Linked DNA regions of Arabidopsis thaliana. The protein of the gene in region 1 interacts with the protein of each later gene in a pairwise test. Each region holds a gene or a part of one and is shown in the gene's direction. Other genes may lie near its edges.

What was found.
Region 2: the proteins of AT5G01380 (region 1) and ADA2A interact in binary tests that used the Arabidopsis thaliana proteins (3 or more experiments, as listed by UniProt).
Region 3: the proteins of AT5G01380 (region 1) and WOX4 interact in binary tests that used the Arabidopsis thaliana proteins (3 or more experiments, as listed by UniProt).

Annotation. Positions count from the first base shown.
Region 1 is NC_003076.8:154,519-160,033, reverse strand, and holds AT5G01380 (Homeodomain-like superfamily protein), read left to right. Parts: upstream 1-2,432; 5' UTR 2,433-2,582; coding exon 2,583-2,918; intron 2,919-3,614; coding exon 3,615-4,250; 3' UTR 4,251-4,424; downstream 4,425-5,515. UniProt on the Arabidopsis thaliana protein: Probable transcription factor that binds specifically to the core DNA sequence 5'-GTTAC-3'.
Region 2 is NC_003074.8:2,468,616-2,475,651, reverse strand, and holds ADA2A (ADA2 2A), read left to right. Parts: upstream 1-2,556; 5' UTR 2,557-2,589; coding exon 2,590-2,642; exon of another isoform or gene 2,643-2,744; intron 2,745-2,870; coding exon 2,871-2,932; intron 2,933-3,015; exon of another isoform or gene 3,016-3,016; coding exon of another isoform or gene 3,017-3,068; coding exon 3,069-3,271; intron 3,272-3,399; coding exon 3,400-3,465; intron 3,466-3,551; coding exon 3,552-3,677; intron 3,678-3,755; coding exon 3,756-3,828; intron 3,829-3,934; coding exon 3,935-3,995; intron 3,996-4,084; coding exon 4,085-4,143; intron 4,144-4,297; coding exon 4,298-4,348; intron 4,349-4,435; coding exon 4,436-4,664; intron 4,665-4,753; coding exon 4,754-4,964; intron 4,965-5,056; coding exon 5,057-5,335; intron 5,336-5,443; coding exon 5,444-5,638; 3' UTR 5,639-5,821; downstream 5,822-7,036. Other genes in the region: AT3G07750 (3'-5'-exoribonuclease family protein), read right to left, coding at 434-673, 764-907, 1,215-1,339, 1,434-1,512, 1,714-1,806, 1,895-1,951, 2,044-2,166; AT3G07730 (uncharacterized protein), read right to left, coding at 6,046-7,036. UniProt on the Arabidopsis thaliana protein: Required for the function of some acidic activation domains, which activate transcription from a distant site. The exact mechanism of action is not yet known.
Region 3 is NC_003070.9:17,235,054-17,240,615, reverse strand, and holds WOX4 (WUSCHEL related homeobox 4), read left to right. Parts: upstream 1-2,430; 5' UTR 2,431-2,662; coding exon 2,663-2,905; intron 2,906-3,124; coding exon 3,125-3,442; coding exon of another isoform or gene 3,443-3,454; exon of another isoform or gene 3,455-3,518; coding exon 3,519-3,713; 3' UTR 3,714-4,092; downstream 4,093-5,562. UniProt on the Arabidopsis thaliana protein: Promotes differentiation and/or maintenance of the vascular procambium, the initial cells of the developing vasculature.

The DNA of each region.
Region 1 (5,515 bases):
TGGAATAATTGTTGTTACTTGTCAAATAATAAGAAGAAGAAAAAACAGACTAATGTATGTTCCTCTTTGATTGTTCTGGTTAGGCAAATTACTTGCATATCTCCACATGTACGAATTAGTAATATTCATTCATAAAGTTAGTATGATTTATAGATTCAAAAAAATAAACACAGATCGAGTTTAGTTTAGTCAAATATTTGAATGTTTTCAAGAACAAGAAGAGTTTCTGCAATCAACTGAAATATCATTTTCATGGTCTTGGTTCAAAACCAGCAGTATTACAAACAGTGAGAAAGGTTTTTGGTATTTGTAACAACAATGTATTGTTGCAGTGACTCCAAATTCAAAAATGGAAGTCATGTGCATTCACCAAGTTACGGCAAAAGTAAAAGACTAAACTTATTACTATTTCCGAATAATCCGGAGCGATACCCTAAACAACATTCACCTCAAAAGTTCTAAATAACACGAATAGGCTGATTTTTGTATATATGCTTTTGGCTGACGTTTTTTTTTTGTTCTTTGCTTTAAGACTTCAATTCTTTTAAGCAAAAATTTGGATGGGAAATAAAAAGGATGATGAGGTGGCCTACTTGTATTGAGCGGATAAACATCAGCCAACAAAAATCTTTGTTAAAATAAAAAGTGAAAGACAGAGAGAGAGATGGCCACGTGGACAAACATGGTGGGCGTTTACACGTGGAATATAACAACACTCCGCGTTGCTGATTATTTGATTCCATTTAAATAAAATTAAAAAATACTGATTATTCTTTCTTTTGTTCACAGAAAATTCCTTCATTCACAATTTCTCTTTTAAATAATTAAAGACCACAAATTTTGAACATAAGAATTAGAAAAATTAAAGATCATTCACTAGAGTAGTCGACATTATTATTAATTTAGTATAAATAAATAAGGTGTGAATCCACGTGGGATGACAGGTGGGAGCGAAGTCTAGTGCATGTCATGTAAGATTTTGATTTACTTTCAACACGCTTCATCGCTATTTGGACCACTTCGCTGACTTTTTTTTGTTTTTTTTTTTACTACTGAGTAGTACTAGTATTTCTTACACATATCAGAGCCAAAAATACAACCCCGACGAATCTTTCTTTAGATACAAATAAAAAATATTTACTCCTACAAGTTTCATTCACCGTACGTTTTACTTGTTATATCATTGCAATGACGCGGCTTCTAAATATGTACTACCATATGTGTGTTTGGGAATCTGACAGTTGTATATTGCACTGGATCCAAACCATTTCAGAACAAGAGTACATTTTCTCTGTTCGTACGCATTATTTGTTTTGTGCCGACTGCGAATATAACGATTTCCATTTATTCATATACTAAATATCATACAATCCATAAATGAATAGTCTTCTTTTTTTCTTGGGGGAATTTACAATTCCAATCAAATTAATTTCTTAGCTAATCATAACGGTAGTCTTGTTTTCTGTAACTTAATTCTTCTTCTTTTTTATTTTGATAGGAACGTTAGGTATCTATTATGTAAAACTTGCTAACAACAATTCTCTAATTCTTTGTTTATATCTGATCTCTTCCTCCATGACACGGGGCTAATCTAAACTTCTAAAAGCATATTGATCCAATAGCTTATTTAATATATTTTGTCTGTCAACCATTAGGTTACTTTTGTTACGATGAATTTTTCAAAAGAAAAATACAAGAATTATGGGATGAGGAAAATCTAGTGGGTCAATTGACCATAAAGGCTAAATCGGATTGAAGAATAAAAATCGGATTGTGACTCGTAACTCGTAAGCGTGACGAAATATTAACGCAACATTTATATGTATTGGGACAAATTATTAACGAATAACTACCAAATGCAAAAAATACGAGACAGTTGAGTACTTGAGCTTGGTCACAAAATCATCATCAAGGAAAAACAATAACCATACAGTAAAAATATAGTTCTACAACTTTACAAATTTGAAAGCGTGTTTAGAATGATGCACACAAATAATCAATCTGTCAAAAAAAAACATATTGTTTGATTTTACTCTAAGATTAAGGCGATTGTTTTTACTTAAGATATTCTTAACTGATGCAAGTTACCCCTGTAATTGTTTGAGATTGCTATTTTTAAACTCTAGAATACGAAGAAAAAAAAAGTATGAATTATTTAGTTAGCTGCTTTAAATCTAGAGTTTATCATCCGAAAAAGGGATATCTAAGCTTTATTATTTTTAATGTAATCACGAATTGTGTCCTTTTCACCAAAAGAGTCATTCGTGTTCGTATTTTATTCAACTAAATAATTCTATAAGTTCTAGTATATTCAATAATTATTAAAAAATCTCATCTTAATAATTTTAATTAGAGAAAAGAACAAAAAACTACACTTCTATCGTCCCTCTACGATTTCACACCTTCTTTTCACACATCCTTATAAATTAATTAGATTCTTCTCTTTTCTCTCCTTCCTCTCTGTCTTCTCTTCTTTTTTTCAATGAAACCTCTCTTCATTTATAAGTAACCCAACAAAAAAATAAAATTATCTCCCTCTTATTTCTTCTCTTCACGTCACAAAGACAATTCGATTCCAAATAATGGACCGACGTAACCCTTTCCAACATCACCACCACCACCATCAGCTTCATCATCACTTGATCCAACAGCAACAGCTTCCTCCGCCGCCGCTGAGCACCACGGCGACGATGGATCCCGGCGGAGGAGGAGGAGGTGGGGAGAGAATCCCACAGTGGAGCATAGAGGAGACAAAGGAGCTTTTGGCTATAAGAGAAGAACTTGATCAAACTTTCATGGAGACCAAACGTAATAAGCTTCTTTGGGAAGTCGTGGCTGCTAAGATGGCCGACAAGGGTTTTGTCCGAAGCGCAGAACAATGTAAGAGCAAGTGGAAGAACCTCGTCACTAGATACAAGGTTACCCTTCAACTCTTTAGAATCCTATTGATGATTCTCTCTATATATAGTCCCGATATATACACCTATAAATGTTTAGTATGATCATGATTACAAGTATATACAAACTATAATTATGTGTATCATGTATTTCATCACTAGTTTGTGTGGTTAGACTGATATTATGCATATTGAAATGGAAACCTAGTTTATGGTGTATGTATAGGTGAACTACATTATATATACATCAATTAATGAGCTTAACCTAATCGCCTAGGTTTTTTAGATATTGTCCTGTCATTAATGGTAACGAGCTATAGAATAGAATTTTACGCGTTTATTGGTGAGCTTTCATCATGATATTGTCTATGTTCACATTTTGATCCGTTATACCATAATATCTCTCTTTTTGTTCGTTGATCACATGGTAAGTAAGTAACACAATATGCCATAAAAATATAATTACCGTTATATAACGGGTGCATAAGATTTAATAAGAACCGTTACTGATGAACACATGAAGATAGTTGAAAAAGTCTATACACACATTTATTTAAGGTAAAAGAAACGTGATATAGATGATGAACATGTGTTTTTGTTTTCCTATGATATATGATTTCGAGTTAAGATACTTGGTTAGCTAAAATATTTTGCGTCGGTACTATTACGTGTTTACATATAATTGTTTATATAACATAATGAATATTCATGGGACAGGCGTGTGAGACCACTGAGCCAGATGCTATTAGGCAGCAGTTCCCATTCTACAATGAGATTCAGTCGATTTTTGAAGCAAGAATGCAAAGAATGCTGTGGTCAGAAGCCACAGAACCAAGCACTTCCTCGAAGAGAAAACATCATCAATTTTCATCTGATGATGAAGAAGAAGAAGTTGACGAACCAAATCAAGATATCAACGAGGAATTATTGTCTTTAGTAGAGACACAGAAAAGAGAGACAGAAGTGATTACTACTAGTACTTCGACCAATCCAAGAAAACGTGCAAAAAAAGGAAAAGGCGTTGCGAGTGGTACGAAAGCTGAAACTGCGGGTAATACACTAAAAGATATATTGGAGGAGTTTATGAGGCAAACGGTGAAGATGGAAAAGGAATGGAGAGATGCATGGGAGATGAAGGAGATAGAGAGGGAGAAGAGAGAGAAAGAGTGGCGGAGGAGAATGGCGGAGCTAGAGGAGGAAAGAGCCGCCACAGAAAGGAGGTGGATGGAGAGAGAGGAAGAGAGACGGTTGAGAGAAGAAGCTAGGGCTCAGAAGAGAGATTCTCTCATCGATGCTTTGCTTAATAGGCTTAATAGAGATCATAATGATGATCATCATAATCAAGGTTTCTAAGTTCTCATTATTTGTGTTAAGCATAAGTTAATTAGCTAGTTAATTTGTTAGGCAAATCAATTTAGATAATATATCTAAATTAATGTTTGTTTTATAATATTTATATGAACTATTGAAATTTCCAAAAAGAAAGATAAATGTTCAAATTTTGATATATGTTATCGTGGTATGAAAATGAATTTATCCTTCTAAAAACAAAAAAAATCCTGGTGGAGAAAAATAAACCTTCAATATTAGAGGAAGAAAAATAAATAGAGAGGGAGTAAAACGAGCAGGCAATTACTAAATATAATATAAGGTAACATGTGAATTAACTAAACGATAAGAATAAGAATTAATAAATCATTTAATAGTTTACGTACATGCATAAAACAATTGTATAGATATTAATTAGATATGCTAGTTTGAATTATATTGTTCATAGTTATAGGTGTCCAAAACCAAATTGGTTGAATACTTTTAGCTACTTTATTCTGTTAATAAGAATATTTCATAACGATTAATCAGGCGATAAACAAGAATTAAACAAAAGTCTTTATTCCAAAACTTTCAATTCACATTTGTCCCACATTACTTCACCGCGTTATTTGTGTGATATATAAAACTTATTTTGTTCATAAGTAAATTGTAAAGAAAGAATTTGTTATTTTTATTCTTTTCTTCTCTTGCAAGACAGCTACCAACAGATAAAAATACCGAAAACATGAAACCGTGTTATAACGCGTTCACACTAATATATCCGTTCATTTTAAAAAACACGTATTACTAATACGCCGCGTCAGCTCAATTGTATAGAGCCGTGTGACCAACTCTGTGAGGTCACCAGTTCGAATACAAGGACCTTCAATATTTACCACTTTTTCGTTGGCAAAAAAATAGTTTATGACTAAATGAAATAATTATAATTCGAAACTTAAATAATTTAGAGTGGGAAAATGTTCTTGAATTTTACATGTGAACCCCCCAAAAAAAACACAGAAAAGTACAAAAAAACGTCAAAGAAGTAACGTTAGAAGGAGACCATGATTTGCATGTGAAATAGACATAAAGGAGACAGTACGTATTTCGAAGTTACGGAGCTCTCCAAAATTCAGAAGAAAACCGATTTGACCGTTTTTGGACCCACTACATGTATTTATAATGCATTTGATAATTCGTCATATCGAATTTGAATTTAATTTCATTCTTATGATCGAGTATTCGAGTCACTAAGATTATCCTTGTGCTTATTTGGTGATATTCGCCATATACATACTTGTGTTTTG
Region 2 (7,036 bases), on another chromosome or scaffold:
CCCGAAGCTGAGATACACGTGACCAACACTGCTCACACACTCTTTTGACCTTTGAGCTTAATCATGGACCACCAATCTTCTCTTTTTTCCAAGTCCACTTAATTTCATTTGCTGACCTCATCTCCATTCTCATTTCCTCCTCCCAAAATATCACAAATCCTTTTGTAACTTGTTATGTCTTTCACTTTAAACACAGAGATCCAAGGAACGCCTCTTTTAATAATCCCTAGATGAGATATAATGTTACTAATACTATAATGGCAAAAATATCACCTTTACTATCACAAAGCATGGAACATTAGAACATAGGAAAAAGGATTTTGATTAGCTTAATCTGTTCTGACTTCGTATAAGATTTTCCACAGATACAAATATTGTTGATCCCTTGCTAACATGTTTCATCTTGAAACTTTGATTCTCTGAGACTCAAGAGTCAAGATTCGTCTTCGCAGGCCTCTGCGGCTGAAATCTCTGAATCAAGTTTGCTCATCAGAGTCTCTGTCACATGCTTGGCAACAGAGATCATGTCAAGGATGACGCTTGGGTCTAAGCCAGACCCGCTTCGTTTGGTTAACCCACATATATGGCCTGTCCGATTCACAGATATAGATACAGCTGAGCTCATCTGAGACTCCTCTTCTGCTGTTGCATCAACTATGTAATGCGTTCCCACCTGCAAAAACCAAGGACAGCATGGTAAAAGATTAGCGAAATGTACATAAGAAGATGTCGATGTGAATCAAGAAAAGTGAGATTCGATTACTTTTGTTAACGTGACTATGACCGGGACACTGGAAGTGTCAAATTGAAGATATTCCTCGTCGCTGATGTCAATCTCTGGTTGCTCATCATCTGCTACTTCAGCTGAAACATTGACTTTTGGGATGGCCGTGTTGGTTAAAGCAGCCTGCAGGAGTATAGTCAACAAGTGCATTAAAGCATGTGATCAGCCTTGAGGAAAGATGACTTTTGGGTTGCTTAAACTATCAATTGGAAACATATCGTAAAGCTACTAAAACCAATAACAAGACAACTACATTGAGCTAATCTATATACACTTAACTAAAGACCCATTCCCTTTCGTTTCCTATATTCTCTGGCCTTTCCTTTCTCATGATTCTGATTGATGGGTATGATTTACTCACTAACATTCGTAACTAAAACCTGAGACTAAGGGTTAAGAGAGAAAACCAAACACACATCACAAGAATTACCTTAATGGCAGCACCCAGGGCATCCAATAGATTCCCATCCGAACTAATGACAAGACCATCAATATAAAGGTCCCAGCAAACTTTTCCTTCTTTGATTAAAAGCGAAGATAAATTTATTCCAGCTCCTGGTACCAAAACATGAATTGCTATAAACGTTACAAACAGAAAGCGTAACAGTGTGCAGGTAAAAAAAAGCATTGCATAAACATGATTGCAGACCTGCTCCACTTTTGCCACCCAGAAGACATCTTTGAAGAGCCAAAGCAAGCTCAGAAGACAATTCCTCACCTCCTCTCCCCTAAGTAACAACATATCACAAAGAATTAGCCGCCTAAAGACTTAACACAGTAGAATTTAGGAGATTCTGAAGAAAAGTAATGATAACCAAAATCTCATGTTGAACAATTCCACTAGTAAGAGAAACACCAATAGAACGATAGAACGGGTGTGACAAGTGCTAGATAGAACCAAAACCAAACGAAATAAAAGAAAAGCTCACCCCAAATGTCGGTTCAGCTGTTGGACTGCAATCAATGAAAACTGCAACCTTTCCTTTATCGGGTTGAAGTGAACTTGGCCTCCCAATTTCAGCCTGCAATTACACAAGATTACTGGGTAACATCTACAATAGCACTTCCCATTCAACAATAGAACAGTAGCAGAGAGAACAAAGGAAGTACCTTTACACTAGCAATCACATCGGTTCCACCAATTCTAACTCTCGCTGAACCATTAGCCTAGAGCCAACAAAAACAAGAGAAAGAACATATCTGTTAAACAACTGGGAAGCAACAATGAGAAGCGGACGAGCTCTAGGAGATTACACTACCTGCGGAATAACACCGGTTTCGACGTAGATAGGACGGTAAGTCAATCTTTTCCGACCATCAGTTCGAAGATCTTGAGCAATCCCACCTTTAATGAAATGTTGTTCCCCAAGAGAAAGCCCCATCACTAATACTACACAGAGAACGAATTAGATCAACTGCTGAGGAATTTCTACCGGAATGACAAACTTCAAGGTTCACGGATTGGTGCTAGGGTTTAAGAGACAGCTCAAACAAAGTACACATCTTTATACAGCACAATCAAAACCCACTAATCTTCTTTACCTTCCCGGAGAATTCAATAGAAGACACAACTCTGAAGTTTTCCGGTGACCCTAGCGGCAACTTTGGATTGGTTAGGTTAAGAGAGAGACGTGACCACTGACAACTGCCGTAGGGTTTAAAGATGGCGTGAACATAATTATTGACACTTGTTAAGGGTAATTTAGTCATTTACCGACTTACCATTTTTTCACTGCTTTTTAGCGTTTTCTCGCTCTTCTGGTTTTTTCTTCAATCTGCCGGGAAGAAGTGCGAGCTTGGTGCCGATGGGTCGTTCGAAACTAGCTTCTCGTCCTGCTGAGGAAGACCTGAATCCAGGGTTCGTTTAAAGTTTCGTTCTTTGTCCATCTTAGCTCGAAGTCTTCTAGGGTTTTCTCTGTTCAATTACTTACTTGTCTTTGCGAAAACATTTCAATATCTGGTAATCCACTTAGCTGTGTTTGATTATCTGAATCGGAGTTCTTTTGGTACTTGTGGGTGGCTCTTGATTTCATACTGCTGTCGTCTCTTGTCTTTATCCTAATTTTGATGATTTTGGCTGTTTCAGAAAATCAAAAAGGAAAAAGATATCATTGGGTCCTGAGAATGCTGCGGCATCAATTTCCACCGGTAGGTTTCCGTTTACTTGTGCAATTAGGTGTGATACTGATAGGACTAAAGTTTCTGCTGTGGATAGATATGCATTGATGTATCATGTACCAAGCTGCGTTTTCCAAAAGTTCTTACATGTACCAATACATTGTAGGAATTGAAGCTGGGAATGAGAGGAAACCTGGCCTTTACTGTTGTAACTATTGCGATAAAGATCTGTCTGGTTTGGTTCGTTTCAAATGTGCTGTTTGTATGGACTTTGATCTTTGTGTGGAATGCTTTTCTGTCGGCGTTGAACTTAATCGTCACAAGAACAGTCACCCATATCGTGTTATGGTTAGTTTCCAACGCCGAGCAGTATATTTGAATTCAATTCAACGCTTTGTCAGCTGAAAAGTAATTAGATTAGTGATTGTGTTTAAAACAAAGAAAATGTTCTATGGTTGTATTTTTGTTTGTATTGAATCTACCCTTTTGTTTGACAGGACAATTTGTCTTTTTCGCTTGTTACTTCTGATTGGAATGCCGATGAAGAGATACTCCTTCTTGAGGTAATCATTAATCGTTTCTGATTGTACACTCCCATGTCTATATAGAGATTCCATCTGACTATTGGGAAGTAAATTGACTGTGTTAGGCCATTGCGACATACGGGTTTGGCAATTGGAAAGAAGTTGCAGACCATGTTGGTAGTAAGACAACGACAGAATGTATTAAACACTTCAATTCTGCTTACATGCAGTCACCATGCTTTCCACTTCCGGTAAGGACTGATGAAAACACATGATCGTCAGATAGTTGAACCTAGCTTGTTTATTTACTCTAGCTCCCCGCTCTGTAGGACTTGTCCCATACTATTGGAAAGAGCAAAGATGAGCTGCTTGCTATGAGTAAAGATAGTGCAGTCAAAACAGGTCAGCTTTAAAATCTATTAGCGGGGTTTCTTGTTGATTTGGGACTCGTATATTAACCTTGACTGAAAAAAGGAGGATGCTGAGCTCTGTTTACTATTTGTCACAGAAATACCTGCATTTGTGAGGCTATCTCCAAAAGAAGAGTTACCTGTGTCAGCTGAAATCAAGTATATACTTATGCTTGTAACAATAGTTTACCTACGTTTACAATGTTGAATGCACCTTTTTAAAAGTACTATTATGTTTCCATGGGCAGACACGAAGCTTCAGGGAAGGTCAATGAAATAGATCCACCTTTGTCTGCCTTAGCTGGAGGTATGTGAAAATGCTTTTATCTATATAAAATTGTAGACATTATTTGCACTTAGATTTATGGCTAAGGACGCAAATCATCCGCATTTCGTACTACGACCCCAAATATTATCTCTTCCATGATTCCATATGTAAAGTAATACTTTTTATTGTACAGTCAAGAAGAAAGGCAATGTACCGCAGGCTAAGGACATCATCAAGTTGGAAGGTTTGTTATATACTGGAACAAGTTTTTATGCAAAGTGATATTTACGCGAACAAAAACTAAAGGTAGTTAACGGCCCTTGTGTCTTAGCTGCAAAACAACAATCTGACAGGAGTGTCGGGGAGAAGAAACTCAGACTTCCTGGAGAGAAAGTTCCATTAGTAACAGAGTTATATGGTTACAATCTAAAGAGGGAAGAATTTGAGATCGAACATGACAACGATGCTGAGCAACTGCTTGCTGACATGGAATTTAAGGATTCTGACACAGATGCTGAGCGTGAGCAGAAACTGCAGGTTCTTCGTATTTACTCGAAAAGGTACACTTATCACAGGAACAACCATTTTTAAACCGGAGAATTTTTTCATAAGCCAATGCTACAAGCCAAGATTGTGCCTTTGTTGGCAGGCTTGATGAGAGGAAGCGGAGGAAGGAATTTGTTCTGGAAAGAAACTTGTTGTACCCTGATCAATATGAGATGAGCCTTTCAGCAGAGGAGAGAAAAATATATAAAAGCTGTAAAGTGTTTGCGCGGTTCCAATCCAAAGAAGAGCACAAGGAACTGATTAAGAAAGTCATTGAAGAGCACCAAATTCTCAGAAGAATCGAGGATCTTCAGGTTTGATGCTTAAAATTTTACCAAGCTTGAGTACTGGATTACAAACTCAATTAGGTGGGAACATTAAGTTGAGCTTTTAATAAATGTTGCAGGAAGCTAGAACTGCTGGTTGCAGGACAACTTCAGACGCAAATAGATTTATAGAAGAGAAGAGAAAGAAGGAAGCTGAAGAAAGTATGCTGCTGCGGCTTAACCACGGTGCACCAGGCAGTATAGCCGGTAAAACACTAAAAAGTCCAAGAGGGTTACCCAGAAATTTGCATCCCTTTGGTTCTGACTCACTGCCAAAGGTCACACCTCCAAGAATATACAGCGGTTTGGACACTTGGGATGTTGATGGTCTCCTTGGAGCTGACTTACTCTCAGAGACCGTAAGAACAATAATTTTCAAACTTGATGTTTGTCATCTTATTTGTGATTTTGTTGATTTGTTGACATTATTCCTATGGTTTGAGAGATTGAAGCTGTTTTTTGTGCAGGAAAAGAAGATGTGCAATGAGACCAGAATACTGCCTGTACACTATTTGAAGATGTTGGATATCTTAACAAGAGAAATAAAGAAGGGGCAGATAAAGAAAAAGTCTGATGCTTATAGCTTCTTCAAAGTAGAGCCGAGTAAAGTAGACAGAGTATATGATATGCTGGTTCATAAGGGAATAGGTGACTCAACATGACTCATAGCTTCATGGTCCTAACATGTACTTCTCGAACATATATTAGCCATGTAAATATAAAGGAAGGTGATGCTGATTTTGGTTACACATCTTGTTCTCTGTTAGTTTCGACAACTTGACAATGTCTGATTGTTATGACCTTCAAAGGCTGTTTCAGATTTTTTGATACAACGTTTAAACTGAATATTGTAATGCCTTCACTCATCTGATTCCTTCAATTTTTGTTATATGAGATCAGAAAGTCTTGAGACATTGCATCAGTTTTCAGGAAAAACCTAAATAAAACCAGATTCTTTGGTTACAAGAAACTACACTGGATCAGATTGCCATCCAACAACAAAGAAAAAAAAAAAAACAGACAGAAATCCAAAAACTTAATCTACATGAAGCCAAAAGCTTTACCATTTCTAAGGTTGCCAACTTTGAGTCTTCTCCCAAGGCTTGAAAACACCATCATGAGAAACATATTTCAAGTAAAAGAAAAAGCCACGCAGCAACTTCAAAGCTCTTGCCTTATCAACACCAACCACAAGCTTGTATTCTTTTTCGAAATCAGGGAAACTTTCTAGATAAGATTGTCCCAGTTCGTCAGTCTCATAATCAGATCCTCTTCCCTTTCGTAGTTCTCTGCATCGAGTCATTTTTTTATGGATTGATACGTAACGATGGAGCTGCTTCATCTCTCCTTCATCATATGGATTTTTCAAAACATCCATTAGCTCCTTTCTAAACCAACTGCTACTACTTTCATTCTCTTTGCTTCCTTCATCAAGATCAACCACTTTCTTGGACGCCACAAACGGTGTACACTCCTCTCCATCCAAAAAAGGGGAATCACCCATCGCAATTATATAATCAGACCAATCATCATGTGGTTCAACCTTCACTTCTACTAGTGGATCCAATTCAGGTACCATTGTCGATTCTTTTAGAGTATCCATATCATCTTTCTGAAGATTTTCCATTGGCTCAGTTGTCGAATCGCTAAGAGAATCTACAAGCCATGTGAGGTACCTCATGTAATCCTTATCCACAACCGCTTCACTCCCCTCATTCTTCTTCCTTCTCCCTACAAAAACTTCTTTGCTCCTTGAAGAAGTCTCATCTACATCATTAACCTCTGTAACTCTATGTACTCGCTCTACGTGATCAATCTCCACAGCAACCCTCTTGTCTTCTTCAGTTCTAACCAATGGAACATCTTTTATTAAAGCATCGTCACATTTCCTCTTTCTTCGTTCAGCAACTCTGTTGTCTCTTTGAATGTCTTCTTGAGTTTTAACCAATGGAACATCATCTCTTCTTAAAGTCTCAGCCTTTGACTCGGAAAGTTTCCTAACTTTGTTGTCTCGTTGTTGAATGTCTTCTTGTTGGGTTTCGAGTGAAGGAACGTCTCTT
Region 3 (5,562 bases), on another chromosome or scaffold:
CTTATTTTTCTATTTTTTCGGGTCCTCAAGATTATCCACCTAGATGTGTCTCACTCTTTTCATTTCCCTATTGCAGGTCAACGACGTTTTATTTAAGCTTTTTCCCATAGACCGATTACCCATTTATCAGAATTACTTGGATTAATGGAATTATTCTCGATTTAAGTCGAATTTTTCGAAGGGTGCTACATATCTCATCAACAAACAATACAAATCAAAGGAAGGAAGAAGAGCTAAAGAGCTAAAAAAAAGATGAGGAGGAGATCGAAGTAAACAAATTGGAAGAAAAAGAGATCCAACAATGATTGGTTGTGAACATGTTATGCTAGTTTATTTCAAATTTTGAAACCCTAAACCTCAAACCATCAGTAATCTGTCATTACCGACATAGTATTACATATGGATCGAAAAATAAACATGTTAAATATGTGTCCTAAAAAAATACATATGAACAGTGGTAGAGGCAAGTGTAGTGGAGGAGGGTCACTGCATATGAATATCGACGATATAGTATGGGCCATAGATAATTGAAGAAATAACCATCTGATCACAGCTTGACACACGAATCAGGTTATCCATCGTGTGATGACATTTTTCAAAAAATATGAATGGTATTACCAGTTTCTTGTTATGCTTTGGGTTCAGTAAAGTTCCACTCATTTTCCAGTATCTGATGAATGATAGAGCAGTCTTTTTAGAACTTTGAGCTTTCATATTCCTTCCGTCCAACAAAGATGAATTTTCTATGGAAAAAAATTGTCCCACAAAGATACAAATTTTGTATTTTTAATATAAATTTTAAAATTGTTTACCTGTTTTATCCTAAGTAAATAAGTAGATAAATATTTTTTATTATTTTTAAAATATATTAAAAGGTTAAAATTGTCAGTATACATTATTTTTTAAAAATGTGAAATTTCTATAAAAAAATCCATCTTCATAGGATAAAGATGTTATTAATTTTAGCTATTAGTCATGATCAACCTACACTGGTACTTCTATATTTCCTCCATGATATCAATTTTTATGTTTTAACCAGTGATATGAACTGTGACTTTCCACCTTCATAACTTTGATATCCATATATATTAGTGTAAGTTTCGTACTGTACATATACTTGCATCATAACTGGATTAGCCGAGACTAAATAATTTTGACTATTCTTCACAGTTCATACTCAAGGTCTCTGTTCTTTGTAATTCTAGACTACATATCAAATAAAAAGATGATGATATATTAGTCAAAACTCAAAAGTAATTAGAAGAAAAAACTTTGTAATTCCGGAATATCATACGTTACTACTTTTCATTAGTAAAATACCCAAATTACTTGGGAAATTGAGGTTCTGCAGTTCCCGATGTACAAGAGAATAACAATACAATACACTGATCTAAAGTGAATGGGACGCTTGACATTGCCAAACCAAACCATGCTTTTGTATCAATATCTAATAAACATATAAGCTTAAATTTATAATGATGTATTATTATCAAAATAAACAATGATAATATAACATTAAGATATTTCTAGCCTTTTCTTTTCCGCATAAAAGTCTGTCCTGGCTCATTATAAACTACCACTAATTTAGGCAAAATCCGTATCTTAACAAAAGTAATAAAAGCAATTTCGAGTATTGGGATTGGAAGATACCTTTTCCCCTTATTCATTCTTCTTCTCATTCTTCTTTTCTCTAAATAAAGTAGTTGAGACTTGAGAGCCACCGAAAAGCATTCGACATCCTATCATTAAAGCTAACTTTTTTCAGTGTTTTATTTCTAAAATAATTTCTTAAAATAAAGAAAGGTGAGAGAGAAATTATGTCCCTATACAACTAGTAGAATGAAAGATTGTCAAGCTTTGGTTTGGGATTTTTCTAATAAATCACATGCATTTGTTAGAATTTGATCCCAAAAAAAAAAAATTCAAACCTTTTTCCTGTAAAAGCAAACCTATTGGCTCGTAGGTCAATGTCAATCTCAATGAATAGTAAAGTCTTTTGATATCACGTATCTATAACATATTATTTTTAGCGTGGTTCATGTCCCTCAACATTCTGCCTAAATTATAGGATCTCAAGACATAGTACTATAGACTACAACTACAAGTAGAGGAAAATTTTATAAGAGAGATAAATTATGCGGTATTCACGCATGACATGCGTAAGCATGAAACTAAAATTTGGTTGATACATTACTATGCCGAATTTAAAGTAGTGCTCCATGCAGACATGAACATATCAGATATCACACGTACGCATGTATTACGTGTATGTAGAGACACACGTACGCATATCTATATTCACACAATGAGATTTCACTTTCTCAAACAAAGATCACTGTCTTCAATTAGTTTCAAATTTGTTCTTTACCTATTGCTTTTACATTTCTGAGTGTATATATTTACAATAAGGACAAGGAGATTTTAAATGATAAAAGTCAACCATATCCCATCATTTGGTCTTTGGTTTCCCGACGTCCCACTTTTGTAAAAATCATCTGTTCATTTTCCATTCTTTTTCTTTTTCCTACCCAACTGGATATCACCAATGATATCATTATACACTAACACTATCATTTCACACTTATCTTCCTCTATATATACATAGCTTAAGTCTTGTAACGAGAAAGGCATGCATAGCATTTGCTAGTTTTAACATATAGCAATGAAGGTTCATGAGTTTTCGAATGGGTTTTCTTCATCGTGGGATCAACATGACTCGACATCATCCCTTAGCCTAAGCTGCAAACGCCTCCGTCCTCTCGCCCCTAAGCTCTCCGGCAGCCCTCCCTCCCCTCCTTCTTCTTCCTCCGGCGTCACTTCAGCCACTTTTGACCTTAAAAACTTCATTAGACCCGATCAAACCGGTCCGACAAAATTTGAACACAAACGAGACCCTCCTCATCAAGTCAGTTCCATTATTGTACTTCGTACATTTTACATCGTTTCTTTCGTTTGAAAAAAGAAGAAGAATTCACTCTAGAAGAATTTTGATAATTGCGGCATACCTAATACTTTGACATTTATAAATTATAACGACTGGAGTGGTTCCTTTTATTATTAATTTTATTTATTTATTTTAATGTATGATTCCTAACAAATGTAATGAAATAATGTGTGGGTTCAGTTGGAGACGCACCCGGGAGGGACAAGGTGGAACCCGACTCAAGAACAGATAGGGATACTTGAGATGTTGTACAAAGGTGGAATGCGTACTCCTAATGCTCAACAGATTGAGCATATCACATTGCAACTCGGTAAGTACGGGAAAATCGAAGGGAAAAATGTGTTCTATTGGTTCCAGAACCACAAAGCCCGCGAGAGACAGAAGCAGAAGAGGAACAACCTCATCAGCCTAAGTTGCCAAAGCAGCTTCACGACCACTGGTGTCTTTAATCCGAGTGTAACTATGAAGACAAGAACATCATCGTCACTAGACATTATGGTAGGAATTTAAGGATTTTGTATAGTTTTGTGGTTTTGATCAACTATATTTAAGGATAATTTTTATGATTGTGTAGAGAGAACCAATGGTGGAGAAGGAGGAGTTAGTGGAAGAGAATGAGTACAAGAGGACATGTAGGAGCTGGGGATTTGAGAACTTGGAGATAGAGAACAGGAGAAACAAAAATAGTAGTACTATGGCAACTACTTTTAATAAAATCATTGACAATGTAACCCTCGAGCTTTTTCCTCTCCATCCTGAAGGGAGATGAAGTCATGAAGGTGAGGCAGAAAATTGTGGAATTCTTATGTAGATCTGGTTTAGGTTCAGAGGAATCAATTGGTATCTAGAAATTCAAAATAAAAATAAAAATAGGAATAAGTCTCTAAAACTACAAAATCTACTTAAGAATTCCCTTATTAATCTGCGAGTTTGATGTATCCTATGTAGATTATTTTTGCGATGTAATCTTAATTATGAATGCTCAGTTTAGCTCATCTTTTTTTCGCGTTTATTCTTGACAAATTCACTAGTGATCAGTTGTACTCTCTTCTGATTTGGCCATCTAAGTATTTCTCTAGATCGTTGGTATGTAGGAATGTTTCATTTAGAGAAATTTCTGAATAAAGACACATTTGATGTTGTTAAAATAATATCTCTGTCTTAATTCCTACGTACGTACAAGAGCAAGAAGTTAAAAGGAAATAATAATAGCATTTCCCGTTGAAAAGGGGGTAGACCTAGTATATTTCTATATAAACAAACATTGAAATCTAAAACTTTTTGTACTGTTATATACTTATATTAAAACTCTTAGTAAAACAGGTGACTCAATAATATTTATATTAATTTTTTATTTTTGATAAATATATACTAAATAAGTTTATGAGATGATAACAAGAAGAATCTTTTCAAGAATTTGATATTTCCAATGGAATGTGTACAAAGACATCAATATATGTAAGCTGTGGTGTGTATGTGGTTAGTTGTTTGTCTGATGCTTTATTGACTCTCGCAAGTGGTTGTTTTGTATTTTGGTTGAAACAAAGAGAGAGTTTTGCTTTTTAGGTTAAAAGTTGAAATGGCATTATATGAGACACACTCACTGAAGTCCATGCACTCGCTTTCCCGCTACATTGCATGCTAGCTAGCTGTTTCTATACATACGCAGATATATGTAGCTCTTCTATATTTTCGCACTTAATTATTGTAAGTGACATTCTTCTTTTCATTTTGGTTATATGCCGATAATTTTGTTTTATTTTCTGATAGCTAACTTCTACTTGGTTGTTAATTATATACCAATTTTCCTTCTTTTTTTCTTTTAAATGTTGATGCAACGTAAAACAAAACTGTATATTTCTACAGTGATTTTAAATAAACGCTAAACTTAAAATAATCTTTTTTGGTAAAGGGTTTAAGATAAATTATAACTTTGTTGGACATCAATTAAACATATATAGAAGTACTCTAAGTTTCTTTATGTTTAGATTATGATTTCTAATTGAAACAAACACATTTCCAGCTAAGTTTATCTTTAATAACCAAACTACCTAATATTTTAAGTCTATCTTTACCGGTAATCATATTCTCAAATGATTATTTGCCATGCATTATGAATTGGTTGCCCGTGGGCGTGGGGCATGGCGTTCCATTACTTATAATCTTGGAGGGAAGCAAGATTGAAATTTAGAAATAAAGAACTTTATTCAATTGGTAATGGGACCATGACTATTTTTTCAATAATTCAATGTTTCTTGGTTTTCACGTGTACATATATATAAGTCCAAAATAATTTCAAACACATAGTATTCAAATAGTATTAGGCCTATCGAAACCGGTTTTGGCCAGGCCGGTCAGCTTGCTACATGTATGGGTTAGCAAACAACGGGCTTCGTGGGCTCTACGACGGCAATGTGTTGGAATTGTATCCTTGATTGAATCTGAAAAAGAAGAAGAAGAATCCATGAGAAGAAGAAGATGAAGAACAGAGGAAGAAGAAGATGATGTCGTGAAGAGAAGAGTCAAAGGAAGAGAAGAAAGTCAACAAACATATGGGCTTTGTGTTTTGTAATATGGTTGTAATGGGCTGAAGATGAATTAGGCCCAAGTATGTTTAG